Linked DNA regions of Arabidopsis thaliana. Each later gene encodes a partner of the first gene's protein in a complex. Each region holds a gene or a part of one and is shown in the gene's direction. Other genes may lie near its edges.

Region 1 (3,755 bases):
ATGGTAAATATAATCATGAAGAGACGATTGCAACTGCGTCTTTTGCAGGAAAGTACATCATTGTAAAGAACATGAAAGAGGTGTGACTTTTATATTGTCAAACTTTGGATATCCATAGAATTTTGCAAGATGTGTTACTGATGGGGTACCTTATTACTGAGCACAGGCAAATTACGTTTGTGATTACATTCTCGGTGGCCAATACGATGGATCTAGCTCCACAAAAGAGGAGTTCATGGAGGTATGTAAGCTTATTTTGCTAATTCTTTGTATCATTCTGGTTTTTCTAATCTCTATGTTGGCGTTGTAGAAATTCAAATACGCAATTTCGAAGGGTTTCGATCCCGACAATGACCTTGTCAAAGTTGGTATTGCAAACCAAACAACGATGCTAAAGGGAGAAACAGAGGAGATAGGTTAGTTACTCTACCGTTTTTTTACATGACAATCGTCTTTTATCCTTGGAAACAAAAACACCTTAGTTTGAGTCTCATGCCAAAAACCCCACAGGAAGATTACTCGAGACAACAATGATGCGCAAGTATGGAGTGGAAAATGTAAGCGGACATTTCATCAGCTTCAACACAATATGCGACGCTACTCAAGTAAAATTCCCATACCTCAAAAACCATGCATCTAGACAAGTTTTACACTTGAGGAAGTGTTTATTCATCAATACTATAATCTCTTCAGGAGCGACAAGACGCAATCTATGAGCTAGTGGAAGAGAAGATTGACCTCATGCTAGTGGTTGGCGGATGGAATTCAAGTAACACCTCTCACCTTCAGGAAATCTCAGAGGCACGGGGAATCCCATCTTACTGGATCGATAGTGAGAAACGGATAGGACCTGGGAATAAAATAGCCTATAAGCTCCACGTAAGCGCATTTCAAAACTAACTTACTCCTTACCAAACTGCATTCACTGATTTTTTCTATTTTACATTGATAGTATGGAGAACTGGTCGAGAAGGAAAACTTTCTCCCAAAGGGACCAATAACAATCGGTGTGACATCAGGTGCATCAACCCCGGATAAGGTATATATATATTTGCAGCTATATTTTTGTTTGGTTCTCTTGTTTCCCACACGAACATGAGTGAAAATATTTGTGAAAAAATTACAGGTCGTGGAAGATGCTTTGGTGAAGGTGTTCGACATTAAACGTGAAGAGTTATTGCAGCTGGCTTGATTCGGCATTGTGATCGTATTCAAATACTATTTGTCATGTCAAGAGTGTACTAAAATATATGTAGTTGTATGATTTGTCTTTATAACTTTTGTAAGAGGTTTTGTAATTCAAAGTCAACATCCTCGTTATCTTACTCCACTTAATGTTCTTACCATAATCGCAATTAGACTGATATAGAACTTGAGACTGTGTAAGGCTGTCATTATCGAGAAGTTGTCACTAAAACAACTAGGTTATGAATCTCCGCGGTATCGGGAAAGAACTCATTTTCAACAAATCGAGCCACAAGAGTTTCTAAAATAGTTTAATGTAACGAAACTCGGGAAGTTGTCAAGAGTTCTCCCGCGATATTTCGTTATGTTTGGAAAATTTTCAAAACAATGTAATGAAATATCGCGGAGAACTCATTTTCAACAGAATCACTCATCCGAATTTCTAAAATAGCTTCATAAATTTTTACGAAATACCGCAGAAAAACTTATTTTCAACAAAATCAGCCACGCCAATTTCTTATAAAATTTTCCAATAATTTTTTGGGTTATGATTACTACAATTTACATTTGTTTAATTTTAAACCAAAATTTTGGTCTAAAAAAAAAAAAAAAAGTTGGTAGTTAATTTTGGGGTTGGAGCTCTATATAAGCGAGAGATGGCAGGATTCTCAAGACGCATTTCTCTCTGTCTCTCTTTCTCTCTTCATATTTCCCGGTGCTTCGTCGACGTTAGGTCTTTTCCGTTGACGGAGGCAAATTTCTTCGATTCTCTTTAAACCGGCGGTCCATGTGGTCTTACCGACGAGAAAACCCTAATTTCAGGGATTAGATAGCTTTTTGAAACAAATTAGAGCAATGAACACAGAGAGAGCTCAAGAAGGTGATAGGAACGATGCCGCATCTTCCTCTGGCTGCTCCGAGTCCTACGAGTTTAGCCACGCAGCCGCTAAAGCTGCAGTAGCTCAGGTCTGCGAGAGCGTTGGGTACGAGAATTTCAAGGATCCAGCTCTCGAATCTCTATCTGGATTCGCACTCCAGTACATTCTTCAGCTAGGTAAAACCGCTACTTCCTTCGCTAATCTAACTGGTAGGAGTCAGTGTAACGTGTTCGATATCATTCTCGCTTTGGATGATTTGACTGATAACAATGGCGAACAAGGAATTTCGTCTGAGAGTTGTTCATTAGGTCGTTCGATTAAACTTAGGGAGATTATCGATTTCGTTAATTCGAGTGAAGAAGTCCCTTTCTCGCAGCCATTGCCAAGTTTTCCTGTAGCTATAAGTGATAGGAGTAGGAAGATGATCCCAAGCTTTGTTGAAATTGGTGAAACTCCACCTGGGAAACATATTCCTTTGTGGCTACCAGCTTTTCCTGATCCTCATACTTATAAGGAAACCCCTATGTGGATCGAAAGAGTATCAGATCCAAGGGGAGATAAGATTGAACAAGCGAGGCAGAGACGAAAGGCTGAGAGAGCTTTGTTGAGTTTGCAGAGGAAACTTGTTTGTAAAATCTCCTCAAGGAATCCTGTGTGGGGAGATATGGATGGTGTGAAAGAAGAAATGAGAGATGATGAGAGTGAACTGCGTTCTGTATCGTCCGGGGAGAAAGTCGAATCATTGAATAGAGATGGCTTATCAGTGATAGAGGCATTTGCTCCTGCTATGGAGGCTGCAAGAGATGGGTTTTCTAGTGAAGCTCACACTGAATGGAAGAAGAATAAACCTGTTGCTCTTTCTAAGCTCAGAACCGAGAAGAAATTTCTCGGACAACCTTTGGATCTAAGTCTACAGATGAAGGGTGAAGATAGACCCATATCCTTTGTGCGTGAGGAGGATAGAGATGACAAAAGAAGAAGAGCGGAGTTCATTTTGAGACAGTGTATGGAGAACCCAGTAGACCTCAATCAGTTGTAAAATAAGTGATTCATTACAGTCTGTGTAGCGTACTATTAATCTTGTGATTTGTAACCTTTCTTTATACAGGCCTATGTTATGATTATGATTTTGTGACTGAAAGAATGAGAATTTCTAACCTATCTTTTAGGCAATTGATATGATGTCTTTCTCATGAGATTCTTGTTACATAACTTAATGTTAGTTTCAGTTTCATGTCTCATGAGTGGGAGCCAGGGACCAGTGTGGAAGGAGTTTAGTCTTGTATCATTGCTATATTTCCAAACCAAGTCAAGTGGTCTGAGGTAAGTATATTTTCTTTGGTCGACATGTGTTTTGCTTCGTGATGTTTATGGGGTGTGAAACATATCACTGTATCAGAATTAAGATTATGTTATGTCAATTAGTTGAGAGCTCGAGGTTAGAAAGGAAAGCTAGGTTATTGAGTTGGGGCCTTGTGGATTAATGTAGGATTTTGCTTTGGACACTGGGCGATAGATAAGAGACTTACTTCTCTCGTTAATCAAGCCTCTTAAGAGTTTACGAGAACTGAATCCTATCACAGTTCCTTTAACTAACACCCCTAGTTTTCAGATTCCATACTTATGATTTAGTTTTTCGTCTATTAGCCCACCACTCTGATATCAGTATATATAGACTCCTGGCAGAACCAT
Region 2 (7,764 bases), on another chromosome or scaffold:
TATAAAACATCTTATTAATAAAATTTTGTGATTGATTGAATTTGACTCCCCTGTAAAAAACAACAACTGATTTTAAAAACCATACATAGAAAACTATTTTATAGAACAACAATAAATACTAGTTTTTCACTATATAAGGACTTGATTGGTTCTTGAAAATTATATGTATTGATTATTGGGAGATTTGCAAAACTAGCCTTTTTTTACTACCCTTTTGCAACAATACCCTTTCATGTTGTCCATTTTTAAAAATATCTCTCCCCTTGAACAAAATGACCAAATTACCCTCATCTAATAAAAACATGTAATTGGAAACTGAAATTTTCCCGCCAATTTTTTGGCGCCAAAATATTTTTTTTCCCGCCAAAAAAAAGTTTCCGCCAAACTTTTTTCCAACCAAAAAAAAAAATTCCCGCCAACAAAAAAATTTCCCGCCAAATTTTTTTTTCGTAAAAAATTTTTCCTCAGCCAAAAAAAATATTTTAAAAATCCTTGTAAATATTTTTTAGCGCCAAATAGATTTACAAGGGATTTTAAAAGGATTTTAAAAGATTTACAAGAGATTTTTAAAAAGTTTTAAAAAATTTACAAGAGATTTTAAAAGAGTTTTAAAAGATTTACAAGAGATTTTAAAAGAGTTTTAAAAGATTTACAAGTAATTTTAAAAGGTTTTAAAATCCCTTGTAAATCTTTCAAAACACTTTTAAACCCTTTAAAAATCTTTACAAATCCTATGTAAATATTTTAAAACCCTTTAAAATCCCTTGTAAATATTGTAAAACCCTTTTAAAATCCCTTGTAAATATTTTAAAATCCTTTTAAAACAATTTTAAACCCTTTAAAAATCTTTAAAAGACCTTTGTAAATCTTTTAAATCCCTTTAAAATCTCTTGTAAATCTTTTAAAACCCTTTTAAAAATCCCTTGTAAATCTTTTAAAAACCTTTTAAAATCCCTTGTAAATTACCCTTTTAAAATCCCTTGTAAATCTTATAAAACCCCTTTAAATTGCCTTGTAAATCTTTTAAAACTCTTTTAAAATTCCTTGTAAATCTATTTCCCGCCAAAAAAAAAAATTGACGGGAAAAATATTTTTGAAAACAAAATTTGGCGGGAAATGTTTTTCAAAAATTTTTGGTGGGAATTTTTTTCGAAAAGGTTTGGCGGGAAAATTTTGGCGGGAAATTTATTTTAGAATATTTTAGGCGAAAAAATATTAATATTTCATTTTGTTAACCTAAAACAATTTCCAAATAAGGGTAAAATGGTAATTAAAAATTTAAAGAGAATATAAATAAAAATGGATAAAACAAAAGGGTAGAGTTGAAAAGGGGCATCATGAAAAGGGCATTTGAAAGAATTTTTCTTGATTATTTGATATCCAAAATTTTATAATATATTTTTAGAAAACGAGTTAACCATTGTGGGAGGAAATAACTGACCTTGTCTTATATACAATAAATTGTTGCAAGTGTTTAGTTTAACCATTGTAACATTTGATTTAAGAATTATTGTTTAAATATTTTTAAACTGGGTGTTTTGGAAAGTTATTTTTTTTTTTAAATAAAAGTTAGAAATTTTGAGAAGATAACATTTTTTTGGATAATTTTCAATAATTCTGTAAGAATTAATTACTCAAACAATAAATATTGGTATCTTGTCCCAATCTTTAAGTTGAAATAGAGAATCCAAAGCAAGTAATTTAAAAAGAAAATGGTTATGAGATTTTACATCAAAGTAAGGTCATGGGCTTATAATTCAAAAACTCTTAGTAAATTTTGAATCTGGGCATTTGCCCAACCTGCCACCCCCATAGACGGGCCTGGTTTTAATCATAACTTTGAAATTATTATATTTGGGCCACAATTAGGCCATTGAAACAGGCCCAGTTTTGTAGAGACACGGAATCTAAAAAACTGAAGATGTTTCAGCGACGAGATACAAGTTTCTAGGAGAGGAAATTGAATCGAGAGAGAGAGAGAGAGACAACAATGGATCCAGAGCAAATCAACGAGTTCGTCGTGGGCTACTTGAAGAAGAAAGGATTCAGTAGCGCTGCTAAAGACCTTGAATCTTATCATCACCAGAACAATAATGGTAGCTCCTTCACTTCTGTCGATTATCATAACGATCCTGAGCTCACGAAGCTCATTCGCTCCTTTTCTCAGTAATCTCTCTCCCTATCTCTCTCTCTCGTTTCAATTCTTAATGCGAATTGTGTTTTGAATTTTTGGGAAAGTTTTAGTGTCTTTTGTGAATTTTGAAAACCGTAAGGAAAAATTATGTAAGCTCCAACGTTTTTGAGAATCTAAAAATGAATATAATTCACTTTCTGGGTGAAGTTTATGTGAATATTTCTATCAGTTTATCTGTCAAATTTAAGATTTTGATGACATCTCAGTGGCAAGAAATTAGGTTTTTTTGTATGGCTTATGTAGAGAGAGCTAATGGTAATGAAATGTCTGTTCTTTTGTTTGCAGACAAGAAGATGATCCAACTCGGTACCGTGAAGGTTACAGCAAACTAAGGTCATGGGCGTATAATTCTCTGGATTTATATAAGGTGGGGATTTTTTTTTGTGTATCCCTTGGCTGTTTTGGGTAGAGACAGGCTTAATTGAACTGACGAGATGATTCTAATTTTGTAGCATGAATTGCTTCGAGTGATGTATCCTGTGTTTATTCATTGTTACATGGATCTGGTGGGGAAAGGGCACACTCAAGAAGGTACTTGTCAATATAGCAAATTAGATGTACTGAGTATTTTTTTTACCTTCGGTATAAGATTTTTGGAAACAGTGACTTATGCTACTGTGGGAAATAATACGTCTCTTGTATTCCAGCTAGAGCCTTCTTTAACAGCTTCCGCAAAGATCATGAGATGGTACACTTACGGGATCTTCAGAAGCTTGAAGGCGTGCTTTCTCCATCTCATCTAGAGGTTTATGATAAACCTTATATGGTCATATAATATTGATAATGGATTTTTTTTTTTTTTTTTTTGGTTATTATCTTTCTTATGATCTTGGTTCTTATCAGGAGATGGAGTTTGCTCGTTCTCTTAGAAAAAGCAAGGTTAACATCAAGTTTTGTCAGGTAGACTTGAGTGAAAATTGACTAGTAGCTGTAATAGGCAACTGCTTCGAGGTTTCTGGTCTGATTAACTGAATTCCGTGACTGCAGACCTCTAATATGCTTACTGAATGTTGCAGTATTCATATGAGCTGTTACTTCAGTATCTACATAGTACAGTATCGACTTTAATGCTTGGTATTATTAACGAGCACATCAATTTCCAAGGTAAATGTGTTTCTTTCTCTTATATATGCGATAGCTTGTAGCAGTTTTTTGAGTAGAAAATTGAATCAATTGGTCATGGATAATTTGTTGCAGTCTACTCGGGACAGCCTACTTCCTCATCCGATGACATAGAAGCTGTCACCATTGTCGGGAGTTTTCAGGACACTGCTAATCACATTAATCAAAAAGAAATACAGTGGGGAGTACGTATTTCCCCTAAAGTTTCTTTTCTCTTCTATTTTTCCAGAGTTATAACATGTTGATGCCTCATCCCAGGGATGATAACATATTTGCGTAGTTAATAGCTACATATGCATTTTTCTTTTACAGTTGCTTGAAGATTCACTAGAAGATCGCCTTGAGAAGACAGGAGGTCTGCTGTCTGATTCTGAGAAGGGACAAGGAGAAAGTAAAGACGGGGATGCAGATGATAGTAAGGTGATACATAGCTTCAACTTAGTCAATAATTTCTGAACTGAAATCCCGTTTTTACTCGTCAATTGATTCTGTGTACAGAAAAGATCCACTGAAATTGGAAAGCAAGGCTCTTCCTTAAAAAAGTTGAAGAAGGACAAAGCGGGTAATGCAACAGCAAAAGTTGCACGTCTGGAGACCATTACGGTGTCACCGGCGCCGCGTGTAAAACCAGAACTTGCCTTGCCAGTAATGTACTTTCGAATCCCTTACCCATTTTTTGTGTTGGGATTTGATTAAAAAGGAATGAACATGTGATATCTATGGGTGATGCATGATTGTTTAGGAGAAATGAACATAGTCTTTGTATTTGTCAAAGACTCAACCTCCTTTAACATAAATCAATTTTGCTCCATCTCCTTGTTTTCTCTGTCAGGTCCACAGATGTAGAGCAATCCATCCTTGAAGACCTTAGAAACCGTGTGCAGTTGAGTAGTGTTGCAATGCCATCAGTCAGCTTTTATACATTTGTGAATACTCATAACGGGTAATGTCCACCTCTCCTCCTAATTTTAACTACTTATTTGCAACCTTGTTACTCACTCTTTTATTCTCCCCCAGGTTAAACTGTTCATCTATATCTCATGATGGATCTCTGGTTGCTGGTGGGTTCTCAGATTCTTCAATAAAGGTATGTTATTCTCGGATGGTTGGATACATTTCCCTTTTTTTGTTTTCTTCCTCTCTTAAATGATGCCAAGTGACAATTATGGTGTTCAGGTCTGGGACATGGCTAAGATAGGACAAGCTGGCAGTGGTATGTTAATTCTCTGAAAAATTGTATTGACATCCACGTTTAAGAATGATATTTATCTCATACGTTTCGCTTGTCATTTTTGTTGATTTCTCATAATGATTGTTTTTGTTTCCATGAGAGTTATAGACACTAAGCTGTCTGGTTCCAGGTGCTTTGCAGGCTGAAAATGATTCAAGTGATCAAAGCATAGGACCAAATGGCAGAAGAAGTTATACATTATTACTGGGTCATTCAGGGCCAGTTTACTCAGCCACTTTCAGTCCCCCTGGAGATTTTGTTCTATCTTCTTCAGCAGATACAACAAGTATGTATCTGTCCATCACTTTACAAATCCATACACTGGCTCATTAGTTCAGACTTTTTTAGTTACCAACCCTGTATTCATAAGTGCAGTACGACTGTGGAGCACAAAACTAAATGCTAATCTCGTGTGCTACAAGGGTCATAATTACCCTGTATGGGATGCCCAGGTATAGTTAATTCAATTTAACCCATGTTTCTTACATAACCTGCAATTTATGGTGGCTGGACATGTATATATATTATATACTCATTTTATGGTGCAGTTTAGCCCTTTCGGTCATTACTTTGCAAGCTGTTCTCATGATCGTACTGCACGGATTTGGTCAATGGACCGAATACAACCTCTTCGGATAATGGCAGGGCATCTATCTGATGTTGATGTGAGTGTCTCCCTCATCTTCATTGTTTGGGTTTAATTTGCAAAGGTTAAATCGAAGGGACCAATTGAGTTGTTAATTAAATGCATGGATAAATTTCTTAAAACGTTTTATTATGCAATTGAAGTCATTAATTCACCGTATCAATGTTTACAATGGTTTATCTAACATTTTACATTGTTTATTGACTTAGATTAGTACCCACTTGTTATTTTAACGTGACCCTGACATTCATAATTTAAGAATCGTCCAGTTTATAGTTGATCCAAAGATTGTTAGCCAATACGCTTAAAGTCATAAGGTTACGATGGATTACTTAACTATTTGGATTGACATTAAGTCAGATCAGTAACTTCAATTTTTCTTTGGATACCTATTGATGCGACTTTCGTTGTACTTGTCAAATGCATTTGATTTCAGTGTGTACAGTGGCATCCCAATTGTAACTACATTGCTACCGGTAGTAGTGATAAGACGGTTAGACTCTGGGATGTGCAAACTGGAGAATGTGTCCGGATATTCATTGGGCACAGGAGTATGGTTTTATCATTGGCGATGTCTCCAGATGGGAGATATATGGCTTCCGGTGATGAAGATGGCACTATAATGATGTGGGACCTCTCAACTGCTCGCTGCATCACTCCTCTCATGGGCCATAATTCATGTGTCTGGAGTCTCTCATACAGGTGAGGTGTCAAGAGAAGAAGAAAATAGCTTTATTTGATCATTCAACTTTTATTGAGTTAGTAATACACAATGAAAACGTAATATGATCCTTTTTTCAGCCAACTATTGGTTTTGGTTGATATGCTTTATCATCTCTGGAATTTCTTCTAGGACAACATTTTTTAAAGGGTAGTTCAGGGTTATGATATAGAGTGGTATGGTGTGGCTATTTCTATTAATTCTACAGTGACTTACTACTGAACTGGTAGATTTTTCTATATCCACGCACTCTTGTGTTAGCTCTAACATAGGGTTCTTGTCATGGGTTGTGGAATGTTGTATAGGCCTAATGTGTTGGGTCGTTAATGGAATGACTGGTTTTGGTTGGTAAAATCCACTTGCTTGGAATATTGGAACCGTAAACTCCACTTTGATAAATCATAGAACTACTACAATTTATGACTAACCTGTTTTCCTGTTTCAGCGGGGAGGGCTCTCTTCTGGCTTCTGGATCCGCAGACTGCACAGTGAAACTGTGGGACGTCACTTCAAGTACCAAATTGACAAAGGCCGAGGAAAAGTGAGTTTGCTCTTTCAAGTTGTATTGTTGTTCCCTTTGAATGGTAGATTGTTTTGTTAAAAACGATTTATCATTTGTGATTGATCAGGAATGGAAACTCGAACAGATTGCGCTCACTCAGGACTTTCCCCACCAAGTCCACACCAGTTCACGCTCTCCGGGTAAGTTATGCTTTCTTTACTAGAATTAATTCCACCATTCTCTAAACACCGTGGTATTTCTCTCATCCCTAAGTTTATCATGTTGTGCTTGTGATCAACACATCCCGATAATGAGTGACCAAACACTTGATTAGAACCAAAGTTTCAGGGTGTGTGCCAAACAGATTTTATCCATCAGTATCATATAGAACCTTTCCTCTAACACCTAGGATTCGTTGATCGAGGCATACACTAAAACTCATGTTTTACATTGATGCAGTTTTCTCGGAGAAATTTGTTGTTTGCTGCAGGAGCGATCTCTAAACCCGCAAACTGATCAAAACAATGGTATCAGATATTGATGCTTTAACATTCTTACAAGCTGTTGTAGATCTCAGAAGAAATCAGGTGTAGAATAGTTATCTCCAAAGATTATTTGCTTGTGGCTTTTGTTTCTCATTTCTAAATCCCAAAAATGTTGAAGATTCTTTTAATGAACAACTACTCCTGCTTATGTATGCCATGTGTCCCAATCCAGGAATCACTTATCTTCGACTTGGAGCAGATTTACTTTAAGCATGTCAAAGCCACATTCTTCCTTCTAATAAACACCCTAGTTTAAGCATGTCACCTCTATCATGAATCAAAACCTACTCGAAATGAATAAGGCAAAGAACAACAACCAAATATTCTCAAAATTTATAACGTTAATAAAATAGAAACATGTAATGAATCTCCCCAAAAAGACATCGTGTGTCGAGAGAAATCTTTCTTAAGACAGGGTGGGTGGTTATGTGGTATGTTGTGAATTATGTTTTTTCTTAGAGAACATATTTTTTAGAAACTTTTCAGATACTAACATATTTTTTATTTTGTGAAAACATTTAATTCTCCTAATTTCTAGAGACGGTACTTAAATAAATAGAGAGCTGACGACAAAAATAAAATAAAATTGAGAGCTGAAGAAGAAAAGAAAGAAAAAAACATGTTTTGAAAGACATTTGCATCAAAATTTTGGATGAGACATAAAATCTACCAAAAGTAGATTTGGTTGTGTGACTAGACAATTGTCTACATTTGGAATTATATGTGGGAATGTGGTACTCGTTATCTTCTTATATGAGATCTCTCCCGGTCAGTTTTCTCATTACTTTTTCGAAAACAAATAA
Region 3 (6,035 bases), on another chromosome or scaffold:
GGCACGCAGTGTTTTGTTTTTTTAAACATTGAATTTCTCGGCCCGACATTATCGTGGAAGTACGAGATTCACTGGATTTGATGGCTCGTCGGCTGTTTCTCCTCCTCCTCGCCGTCACGGCAGGGTTGAGCTTGACGGGAACAACCGTCAGAGCAGTTGGCATAAATTGGGGGACAGAAGCGTCGCACCCTCTTCCGCCTTCAAAGGTTGTAGAGCTTCTGAAATCAAACGGCATTGTCAAAGTGAAGCTCTTCGATGCCGACCCAAAAGTTCTCCGAGCTCTCTCTGGTTCTAATATTGGTGTCACTATCGGAATCCAAAATTCGATGCTCAAGAGCTTGAATGCATCCGTAAAGGTAGCAGAGAGCTGGGTACATGACAATGTCACTCGTTACTTCAACGGTGGAAACAGAGTTCGAATCGAGTATCTTCTTTCTCCTTCTCTTCTGCTTATCCAGTTATATATATATAGATTTAAGATTTTTAAGCTGGAATTTAACTTATGGAATGTGAATGAGTCGGATTTGTTTCAATGCCAAATTGCCAATCTTCTTATTGTGAAATTATCATTAAAGAAAAGAATTGATTTTCAGGTATGTAGCAGTTGGAGAAGAGCCATTTCTCCAGAGCTATGGCAATCAGTATAAGCCTTTTGTGATTGGGGCAGCTATGAATATCCAAAATGCTTTAGTTAAGGCGAACTTGGCAAATGAAGTGAAGGTTGTAGTCCCCTCAAGCTTTGATTCCTTTCTTTCTGAATCTGGTCGACCTTCTTCAGGACACTTTAGGGCTGACCTCAACAAGACGATGATTGAACTCCTCTCCTTTCTCACAAAGCACCACTCTCCTTTTTTTGTGACAATCTCTCCTTTCCTAAGCTTTCACCAGAACAAGAACATCTCCCTTGACTTTAGCCTCTTTAAAGAAACAGCAAAGGCTCACAAAGACGGACGTAAAACCTACAGAAACAGCTTTGATCTAAGCTATGACACACTTGTCTCTGCATTGTTCACAATTGGGTTTTCGGAGGTGGATATCGTTGTGTCAAAGATCGGTTGGCCTACAGATGGAGCAGAAAATGCAACATCACTGACTGCTGAGGCGTTCTTTAAAGGACTGATAGTTCACTTGGAGAAAAAGACGGCCTCTCTCCCGCGTCCTCCTGTTGAAACCTACATTGAAAGTCTCTTGGACGAAGATCAGAGAAACTTATCTGCTGGGAACTTTGAGAGGCACTGGGGAGTGTTCACTTTCGACGGTCAAGCCAAATACAATTTCAGTTTCAACCATAAGAATCAGGTAAACGCGCAGAATGTTCAGTACCTTCCTCCTAAGTGGTGTGTGGTGAACAATAACAAGGACTTGTCAAACGCGTCAGCAAGAGCATTAGAAGCGTGTGCTGTTGCGGACTGTACATCGATACTTCCTGGCGGGTCGTGTTCAGGCATCAGATGGCCAGGCAACGTTTCATACGCGTTCAATAGCTTGTACCAGCAAAATGATCACAGTGCAGAAAGCTGCAACTTTGGTGGACTTGGTTTGATCACTACTGTTGATCCTTCTGAGGATAATTGCCGGTTCTCGATTCAACTTGACACTTCTCATTCATCTTCGCAAACTCCAAATTTCTTTCAGAGCTGGCCTCTCCTCTTATTGTTCCTACTGTCCGGACTCTTTTAAAGTTGTAGTTATAGCAAAATTTTGGTGGATTTTGCCTCTAATTTCTCTCTAATAGCCACATTTCAAAACTGTATTGGGCTACGTAAAAAATAACTGTTATTGGGCTGGGCCTTCGTAAAGGTTAGATGATTATGGGCCTTAGAACCATGTTGTCTTATTTGATAAAAAAAGCAAGTCCAGTTATTTTGGGAAACCGGTCGGTAAAAGATAAGATGTAAAAGAATTTAAGATTTAAGATAAATGCAATAATAAAGTTCCACTATTTTTGAGAGAAATATAAATAAAACGCGAGATTTTTTATTCTACGTCTAAAAAGGCTCTCACACGATTCGTTAAGAGTTTTGGTCTGTTGTTTATCGCAAACCCTAGGTCATGGCTGGGATGTACAATCAAGACGGCGGCGGAGGTGCGCCTATTCCGTCGTACGGTGGTGATGGATACGGCGGAGGGGGAGGTTATGGAGGTGGTGATGCTGGATATGGTGGACGCGGTGCCTCTGGCGGAGGTAGTTACGGCGGACGCGGTGGTTACGGTGGAGGCGGTGGTAGAGGAAATCGAGGTTTGTGATTTAGATTGTTGCAGATCTGATTGATATAACCTTATGATTCTTTAGATTTCTCCATTCCTTGCTGAGCTACTTTTGTTAAATCTTTAGTTTCTCACTATTTCGATGATTCGTTTTGATTTAGGCGGTGGAGGTGGTGGATATCAAGGAGGTGATCGCGGTGGAAGAGGAAGTGGCGGCGGAGGCAGAGATGGAGATTGGCGTTGTCCCAACCCCAGGTAATGATTGCAAATTATTTGGGATTCCATTCTTTCTGCATATGTAATGAATTGAATTAGCTGTTGAATTCCTTTGTGGGAGCATGTTTTGAAATTGTTTACCCTCGAAACTGTTTGTATAGTTGTGGGAACGTGAACTTTGCAAGGAGAGTTGAATGTAACAAGTGTGGTGCACTTGCTCCTTCTGGTACTAGTTCTGGTGCTAATGATCGTGGAGGTGGTGGATATAGCCGAGGTGGAGGTGACAGTGATCGTGGGGGTGGTCGTGGTGGTAGAAACGATAGTGGTAGGAGCTATGAGAGTAGTAGATATGATGGTGGAAGTAGGAGTGGTGGTAGCTATGGTAGTGGTAGTCAGAGGGAAAATGGTTCGTATGGTCAGGCTCCTCCTCCTGCTGCAGCTATTCCATCCTACGATGGTTCTGGAAGTTATCCTCCACCCACGGGTTATGGAATGGAAGCTGTTCCCCCGCCTACAAGCTATTCTGGTGGCCCGCCGTCATATGGTGGTCCACGAGGGGGTTATGGCAGTGATGCACCGAGCACTGGTGGTCGTGGTGGTAGGAGTGGCGGCTATGATGGTGGTAGTGCTCCTCGACGGCAGGAAGCTAGTTATGAAGATGCAGCTACTGAAAAAGTCAAGCAGTGCGATGCTGATTGTGATGATAATTGTGATAATGCTAGAATATACATCTCTAATTTACCTCCGGATGTGACAACTGATGAACTCAAGGATCTCTTTGGTGGCATTGGCCAAGTAATAACACTGGTCTTTTACTTCTGTTGTGTTTTATATCTTGGAATAAGCCTTTCCCTTGCTATAAGTTATTAAGTTCTTGTTTGTGTACATGTTTATTGGTGTGCTGATAAAGTGTGTCTGGTTGGATCTATTTTAGGTTGGAAGAATTAAGCAGAAGCGTGGTTACAAAGATCAGTGGCCCTATAATATTAAGATTTACACTGATGAGAAGGGTAACTATAAAGGTGACGCCTGTCTGGCTTATGAAGATCCCAGCGCTGCACACTCTGCAGGCGGCTTTTTCAACAGTATGTACTATGGAATTGCTGTCTAGCTTAAAATTGTTTAAAAGTTCTGTTTCGTGAATGGTGGTGGATTGTTTTGTAGATTACGAAATGAGGGGGAACAAGATTAGTGTAACGATGGCAGAAAAGTCTGCGCCCCGTGCTCCTACCTTTGACCAGAGGTAGCTGTCCTGATCATTTATCAGCATTCTTTTTTGTTACCATTTAGCTGTTACCACCTGCTCCATCTTATAGGTGTTTGTACTCTAGTTGTTTTAGGCTTTTAGCTTTATAATTTTAGTAGGGAATATGAGTTTTTGCAATGCTAAGTTTATGTTCCTTGTCTCTGAAGACTGTTTGGATCTTGTATCCTACTGGGGATTTGCTTTGTACACTCATCTGGGTATGACAGAAAGGGTTGGGAGTTCGTATGTCATCAAATTATGCCTTAGGTCTATGTTCATGCCATAGGAAATAAATCTATGTAGTTATCTTGTAACCTATAGCTGTGGCTGCTCTTGGTTGTGAAGAGATCTGTTGTTTGTTCATGCTTCTTATAAGCTCCTAGTAATTCCCCATATAAGTTGTATCTTTATCTGGTTTTCCATGCTCTATAAGACTCGTCTTTGTTGTGTGTTGAGTCACTTCATCTTACGTAGTAAGCTGGTTTTAATTAGAGATGTCTGTGTCTGATCTAATAATGTTGTCCTTGCAAACTTGTGAATGTCGCAGAGGTGGGGGTAGAGGAGGAGGAGGTGGTGGCTATGGTGGTGGTGGGGGAGACAGAAGAAGAGACAACTACAGTTCAGGGCCAGACAGAAACCACCATGGGGGAAACCGGTCTCGTCCATATTGAGAGAAAGAGAGGAATGAATGAATCAGCTGTTATGTGTTCTAAGAGTTTTGTGTGTGTTAAGGAGGGAATTTTAGTAAAATGTTCTATGAATCCTCATATTGGAGATACAAAAAAAGAGGTAGGTTTTTGTTCACTTTGACCTTGAGCAAAATTACCCCTTTTTTCTCCCTACTTGTTCTGTTTCTTTGGGGATCTATTATTCATGCATCTCCGGTTTATTTTTAGTTTGTTTTTCACGATGTGAAATGTTTGTTTTTTGTTTTATTGAAGGAAGCTGATATTTAACTGCAAAATGCATTGCAAATTGGTGCTATGATGATTTCAGGTGAGTGCATTCATCTTGATTACTTCTTTCAACACCAGAAGTCCCTTTTTTGCTTCTCTTCCTTCTTTTTTTGACTCTGTTCAACACAAACAAAACAGTCGTATGTTTTCATGTTGTATTGTGTAATGCATTCATTTAGGCAACCACACTTCTCTTTACAATTTTCGGAGTTGTTATCGTTTTTTCTCGCAAACTTCTTTTATAGCAACATGTGTTCCTCGAGAATTGGCAGGAGTGGGGGATGGCTAGGCACTTGTGTCTGATCAGTTGATCTGAAGTATGCAGTGACCTTTCAAAGATCAACTTGATGATTTTATTGCCAACTTCACTCACTGGGGCTATGATTAGGATTAGGGTTTTACAAATGAGTGGCCTTTTTTTGGATAAAAGACGTTGTTAATAAATAGTTAATCGTTCAATCTGGATCCCAAGGACTAAAGAGAAGGGTGTCTCGTAAAGTTCTCTATGTGTATATGTCATGACCTTTTGGTCAAGTGCCGGATTGGCCAACTCTTTAATGTGTTACATGTAACGAAAGTTTATGTTGAAATTATAGGAACAAAAAAGACTAATGCCGAAAATCCCAAGAGAAAGTTTATTAATGACTTGTTGTGTAGAAAATATGGACGAGAGAAAGAATCCAGGAAATTTGGAATCCTGTAACATTAGTTTCAAGATTCCCATTCTCAATTCGACAAAGAGAATCCATCTTCTAACATTGCATATTCACAGCTCAATCGCTGGCTGGCTCTAGCACACGGCGATATTACTTATTTACCATCCCTTTCACACACATATTGGATAATATACATATTCTTAATAAAAGTCCACCAGTAGTCTTAAGCATAAATTTACAAAAAAAAAAAAAAAAAAAAAAAGTAAGGCAGTAACAATGTAATTCTAACAAACTGCTTAGATGTGTGAAATCCAGATATTTGTAAGTTGTAACTTGTAAGACCACACTATTTAATACTTAATGTGTTCTTAACCTCAAATTGACAATACCTGCGATTTTTCTCACTTTCGACACAATTTTCTATATGATTTGAACTTCAACAATTCTATATAAAAAAAGGTAAAATATTTACATGCAAATAATAAACTTACCCATTACCATATCTTGTATACAAGAAGCTAAACGAAGGAGGGAATGAAGTAGGAATCACATATAAGCAAGAAGAAGCTATGGAACTCAGGATGGATAGCGCCAACAGATATACATGTACGCATATACAAAACATACAGCACTGGTGAGCCATGGCGCTATCCCTCCTGAGCTTTATAGCTATTTCTCTACTACTCAATCTGAAATTTACATCCATAGGTATGCATCTTCCTTTACATATGTGTTATAATGTATCATGTATGT
Region 4 (4,120 bases), on another chromosome or scaffold:
TTTGTTTCTGCAGGTATATTCAGGCTGGGACATTGATGAATAACTATGCACATATATTTGGTCTTCTTATCCGACTGAGACAAGTGAGTGGTATCGATAGTTTTGTTGTTCTATTTACAAGCCAGTGCATGTTTTGGATGATATAGGTATATAGATTTCTGATGCATTTTCTTGCAATTTTTTCAGGCTGTTGATCATCCATACCTGGTGAGTTATTCTAGTCCTAGTGGCGCTAACGCTAACTTGCTTGATGCGAACAAAAATGAGAAAGAATGTGGTTTCGGCCATGACCCTTCCAAGGACTACTTTGTAAGTGTTCCAGTCGATATATTGTTGCTATTTCATACTATCTCGACTCTTGTTTCTCAGTAACTGTATCTTCTGGAAATAGCTGCCACCATTTTACACTTTCTTAAAGAATCATCGGATGACTAATGTTGGACTTAACTTGTTCGGTTAATATGTCTTTGGTTCTCTTACTTTGAAGGTGACTTCTAGTGAACATCAGGCAAGCAAGACAAAGCTTAAAGGATTTAGAGCCTCTAGCATTTTAAATCGGATAAACCTCGATGATTTTAAAACAAGTACAAAGATTGAGGCTTTGGTATGTGCCCTTTGAGATCTACAGCTTCTGTCTCTCCCACGCTTAAAGTTTCTTTGGAGATTGGAGGCTTTATCTAACCATTTGGTGATAAAAAAAATTTGTATGCAGAGAGAAGAAATCAGGTTCATGGTTGAAAGAGATTGGTCTGCCAAAGCAATAGTATTCAGCCAGTTCACATCATTCTTGGACCTGATAAGTTACGCCTTGGGGAAGGTAATTTCAAGCGCAACCAACTACAAAATGCTACTACTACTATATCTGTGCTCCTTTAACATTCTCTTTAATCATAATGAGACATTGAATAAAAATGATTGACTCATTTTGTACAACGCAGTCTGGGGTTAGCTGTGTTCAACTGGTGGGAAGCATGTCCAAGGCAGCTAAAGATGCTGCACTCAAAAATTTTAAAGAAGAGCCAGATTGCAGAGTTTTATTAATGAGCTTGCAAGCTGGAGGGGTTGCTCTAAATCTAACAGCCGCTTCGCATGTAAGAAGTGTACAACTTATAAAACAGTTGCTCCTAGAACATGTTTTATTCACTGACATTCGGGTGTTTGATTGTATAGGTGTTCATGATGGACCCGTGGTGGAACCCAGCGGTTGAGAGGCAAGCACAGGACAGAATACATAGGATCGGACAGTGCAAGCCTGTCAGGTTATATTTTTGAGTTGTCCTTCAATATACTGTATGTTGTTTTGGTGGGGGAAGAAAGAAGAAACATTTGGTTGTGTGACAGGGTTGTAAGATTCATAATGGAGAAAACAGTAGAGGAAAAGATACTAACGCTTCAAAAGAAGAAGGAAGATTTGTTTGAAAGGTTTCTTATTTTAAACGATACGCTTCTCTCAACTTTGCTGGTTTCTTATTGTCAACTGTATGAAGCCTATATGAAGACATATTTGCTTTGTTACAGTACGTTAGGTGACTCTGAAGAGGCCGTTGTACAAAAGCTGGGAGAAGACGATATCAAGTCCCTGTTCGCATAACCAAATCTTGTAGATGAAGAACATGATAGAAAATTTGTATAGATAGAAAAAAGAGTCTTGACAGGACAAAATTAGGCTCAAGCTAAAAGATTTGATACATACTTGTGTAATATGATGAGCACCGGATAGATTGTATATGAATCGGATCACAAACTTTTCCTTCTCCCGAAGAATATTGAGCATGAGGCCATGGCCGGTTTGAGCCATACCGTGAGAACTTAGTTACAATGTCGGTCGACTAGTGTACGGGTTTCTGGTTTAGATTATGGGCTGGTTTAATATAAATGGGCCTATTTATTAAGCCCAATTACTTCGTATGTAATGCAATGTGCTTCTTCTACGAGAGAGAGAGAGATCAGTGAACAAGTCCCCGTTTCTTCGTTCTCATCATCTTCATCGCCGATTTTGCAACGACCACCTCTGCTACTCCCGTCGATCAATCTACGGTGAGCTCTCTGCTCTCACTATTCCCTTTTCAATTTTCATTCCTTTTCCATGACGACAAATATTTGGATAAAGAACCTTATTCGATTTAACTCCGTTGGTTGTTGTACTGTACCGGAATACAACTTTCCGGTAGCTCTCTGGTTTTGATTGCGGTAGAAATCTAGAATATAGGCTCGGAATTTCATTTTCTAGTTGAGATTACACTGTTTTTTCTTTTTTGAAAATTTTCACCTAGGGTTAGTATTTGACTCAATTGGATTTTGTCGGTAGAGGAATTTCACTTATTTTTCTATTATTTTGCTCTCCTGGATTTTGATTATCAGAAGAAGAAGAAGAGATGAGTAACACACCAGCAGCGGCGGCGTCATCATCGTCTAAATCGAAAGCTGCGGGAACTTCTCAGCCACAGGAAAAGCGCAAAACTCTCTTTCAAAAAGAATGTAAAGTCTTTAGTTAAAACCAGATTTTTGTATTCTTCATTTTGTGATTCTTCTGGTAACAATGGTTTTGGTGCTTTTGTTGATTTTTCAGTGCAGCATATGATGTATGGATTTGGCGACGAGCAAAACGTAAGCCGCTATCCTCTTCATTACTATTTTGTTGCCATATGAACCGTATTTGTAGATATAGTTTCATTCCAATACAAGTAACGAATTAGGTAGAGAATCTTTGCTTTAAAGGGTTCTTGGTCGTGTAACATCTTTTAGTGTTTTACCACCTGAAACTGATCCAAAACTCCTCTGTATTTAGCCTCTTCCAGAGTCTGTGGCGCTTGTAGAAGACATTGTTGTGGAATACGTCACAGATTTGGTAGTGAGCTTTTTCTTTTTGTGAATGATTCATGTTTTACATTACAAGCGGAGAGATATTAGCTAACAAGTGATGTTTCAATGGCAGACACATAAAGCTCAAGAAATTGGTTCAAAGCGAGGAAGACTTCTAGTTGATGATTTCTTGTATCTTATCCGCAAGGTAAAAATTCTTTTTAAAAAGTACACAATCGATGATTGAGATGGTTTATGGTTTTGTATTCTATATCCGAAACTTTGGCGTCTTTGATTTATGCAGGATTTGCCAAAACTGAACCGCTGTAGAGAACTGTTGGCGATGCAGGAAGAGCTGAAACAAGCACGCAAAGCTTTTGATGTCGACGAAAAGGAACTCGTTGATTGATCTTGCTTTTCCTCAACGGGAGGAACAAATGCTAGGTAAGAGGAACCTCATGGATGCCGGACTAGGGACAGCGTTTTAGGTTGTAATCAGAATTCGAAGCACAGTAGCAAAAAAAAAGTGTGTTGACTTAAAAAAGGTGAAAAAAAATCTTGCACAAGGCCGACTCATATTAAATGTAGGCCCATTAGAAGAAAGCCCATTATCTAGCATCCCGTATATATCTACGGACGACCTTTAATTTTTCTTGAGTCAGGAATTTCGAAACCCTAAAAATTTAGAATAACCACCCGATTTTTGTTTCTTTCATTAAATTAATTACCGCAATAATTATAAAATTAGTCATCATTATAAGACTTTTGTTTTTCTCTAAATTTTTCGTCATCTTTCTGATATTTTGATTCATTATTTTACCATGGAAACAATAAATAAGAATGGTGATCAATTACCAACTAAAGAAAATCATTGTGATCAATTAGAGATAGAGCAAATAAACAACACGAGCATGAAGAAGAAAAAGTCATCACGTGGGATGCACATGTTCTCCGTCGTCATGTTCATGCTTCGTCGCCGCCGGGGAGAAAACCCTTCAACACCAGGTTCTGGCGGCGAGTCGTTAAGTCCGTACGTAAACTCCGTTTCGAAATTACGATAATGCCATCGTCAACTTTTACTAACACAATTGTTCTCCCTCCGGCTCCTCCTCCTCTGCCAGCGACAGAAATGGGAGGAGACGATGGTGATAATGATAATGAAGATGATGATGATTCCGAGGGTCGTTTATCAGAGACTATGGAGGTTTTCACGGCGGCTTCATCTTCATCATCATCAGGAATCTCGGGATATGGATCAGCCATGTCCTTATATGATGATGATATTGATGAGGAAGAAGATGAATGTTATAGTGATGTG

What was found.
Region 2: TAF8 (region 1) and TAF5 share a complex: the UniProt entries of both Arabidopsis thaliana proteins name them as parts of the TFIID complex.
Region 3: TAF8 (region 1) and TAF15b share a complex: the UniProt entries of both Arabidopsis thaliana proteins name them as parts of the TFIID complex.
Region 4: TAF8 (region 1) and TAF13 share a complex: the UniProt entries of both Arabidopsis thaliana proteins name them as parts of the TFIID complex.

The regions. Positions count from the first base shown.
Region 1 is NC_003075.7:16,426,118-16,429,872, reverse strand, and holds TAF8 (TBP-associated factor 8), read left to right. Parts: upstream 1-1,862; 5' UTR 1,863-2,040; coding exon 2,041-3,102; 3' UTR 3,103-3,234; downstream 3,235-3,755. Other genes in the region: HDR (4-hydroxy-3-methylbut-2-enyl diphosphate reductase), read left to right, coding at 1-80, 167-241, 311-416, 511-605, 694-879, 953-1,039, 1,127-1,192. UniProt on the Arabidopsis thaliana protein: TAFs are components of the transcription factor IID (TFIID) complex that is essential for mediating regulation of RNA polymerase transcription.
Region 2 is NC_003076.8:8,675,127-8,682,890, forward strand, and holds TAF5 (TBP-associated factor 5), read left to right. Parts: upstream 1-1,922; 5' UTR 1,923-1,990; coding exon 1,991-2,166; intron 2,167-2,479; coding exon 2,480-2,561; intron 2,562-2,646; coding exon 2,647-2,725; intron 2,726-2,841; coding exon 2,842-2,939; intron 2,940-3,037; coding exon 3,038-3,094; intron 3,095-3,210; coding exon 3,211-3,298; intron 3,299-3,391; coding exon 3,392-3,501; intron 3,502-3,628; coding exon 3,629-3,736; intron 3,737-3,814; coding exon 3,815-3,966; intron 3,967-4,148; coding exon 4,149-4,259; intron 4,260-4,333; coding exon 4,334-4,403; intron 4,404-4,492; coding exon 4,493-4,529; intron 4,530-4,677; coding exon 4,678-4,833; intron 4,834-4,922; coding exon 4,923-4,999; intron 5,000-5,095; coding exon 5,096-5,212; intron 5,213-5,629; coding exon 5,630-5,895; intron 5,896-6,359; coding exon 6,360-6,455; intron 6,456-6,543; coding exon 6,544-6,616; coding exon of another isoform or gene 6,617-6,661; exon of another isoform or gene 6,662-6,875; coding exon 6,876-6,932; and 2 more. UniProt on the Arabidopsis thaliana protein: TAFs are components of the transcription factor IID (TFIID) complex that is essential for mediating regulation of RNA polymerase transcription.
Region 3 is NC_003076.8:23,636,872-23,642,906, reverse strand, and holds TAF15b (TBP-associated factor 15B), read left to right. Parts: upstream 1-1,933; 5' UTR 1,934-2,052; coding exon 2,053-2,239; intron 2,240-2,369; coding exon 2,370-2,463; intron 2,464-2,585; coding exon 2,586-3,219; intron 3,220-3,358; coding exon 3,359-3,509; intron 3,510-3,588; coding exon 3,589-3,667; intron 3,668-4,217; coding exon 4,218-4,341; 3' UTR 4,342-4,459; exon of another isoform or gene 4,460-4,611; 3' UTR 4,612-5,492; downstream 5,493-6,035. Other genes in the region: AT5G58480 (O-Glycosyl hydrolases family 17 protein), read left to right, coding at 81-424, 594-1,680. UniProt on the Arabidopsis thaliana protein: TAFs are components of the transcription factor IID (TFIID) complex that is essential for mediating regulation of RNA polymerase transcription.
Region 4 is NC_003070.9:578,709-582,828, forward strand, and holds TAF13 (TBP-associated factor 13), read left to right. Parts: upstream 1-1,916; 5' UTR 1,917-2,037; intron 2,038-2,361; 5' UTR 2,362-2,375; coding exon 2,376-2,478; intron 2,479-2,569; coding exon 2,570-2,607; intron 2,608-2,788; coding exon 2,789-2,848; intron 2,849-2,935; coding exon 2,936-3,010; intron 3,011-3,106; coding exon 3,107-3,211; 3' UTR 3,212-3,602; downstream 3,603-4,120. Other genes in the region: AT1G02670 (P-loop containing nucleoside triphosphate hydrolases superfamily protein), read left to right, coding at 14-83, 187-309, 488-604, 713-817, 939-1,091, 1,171-1,259, 1,342-1,422, 1,519-1,591. UniProt on the Arabidopsis thaliana protein: TAFs are components of the transcription factor IID (TFIID) complex that is essential for mediating regulation of RNA polymerase transcription. May be involved in polycomb repressive complex 2 (PRC2) mediated repression.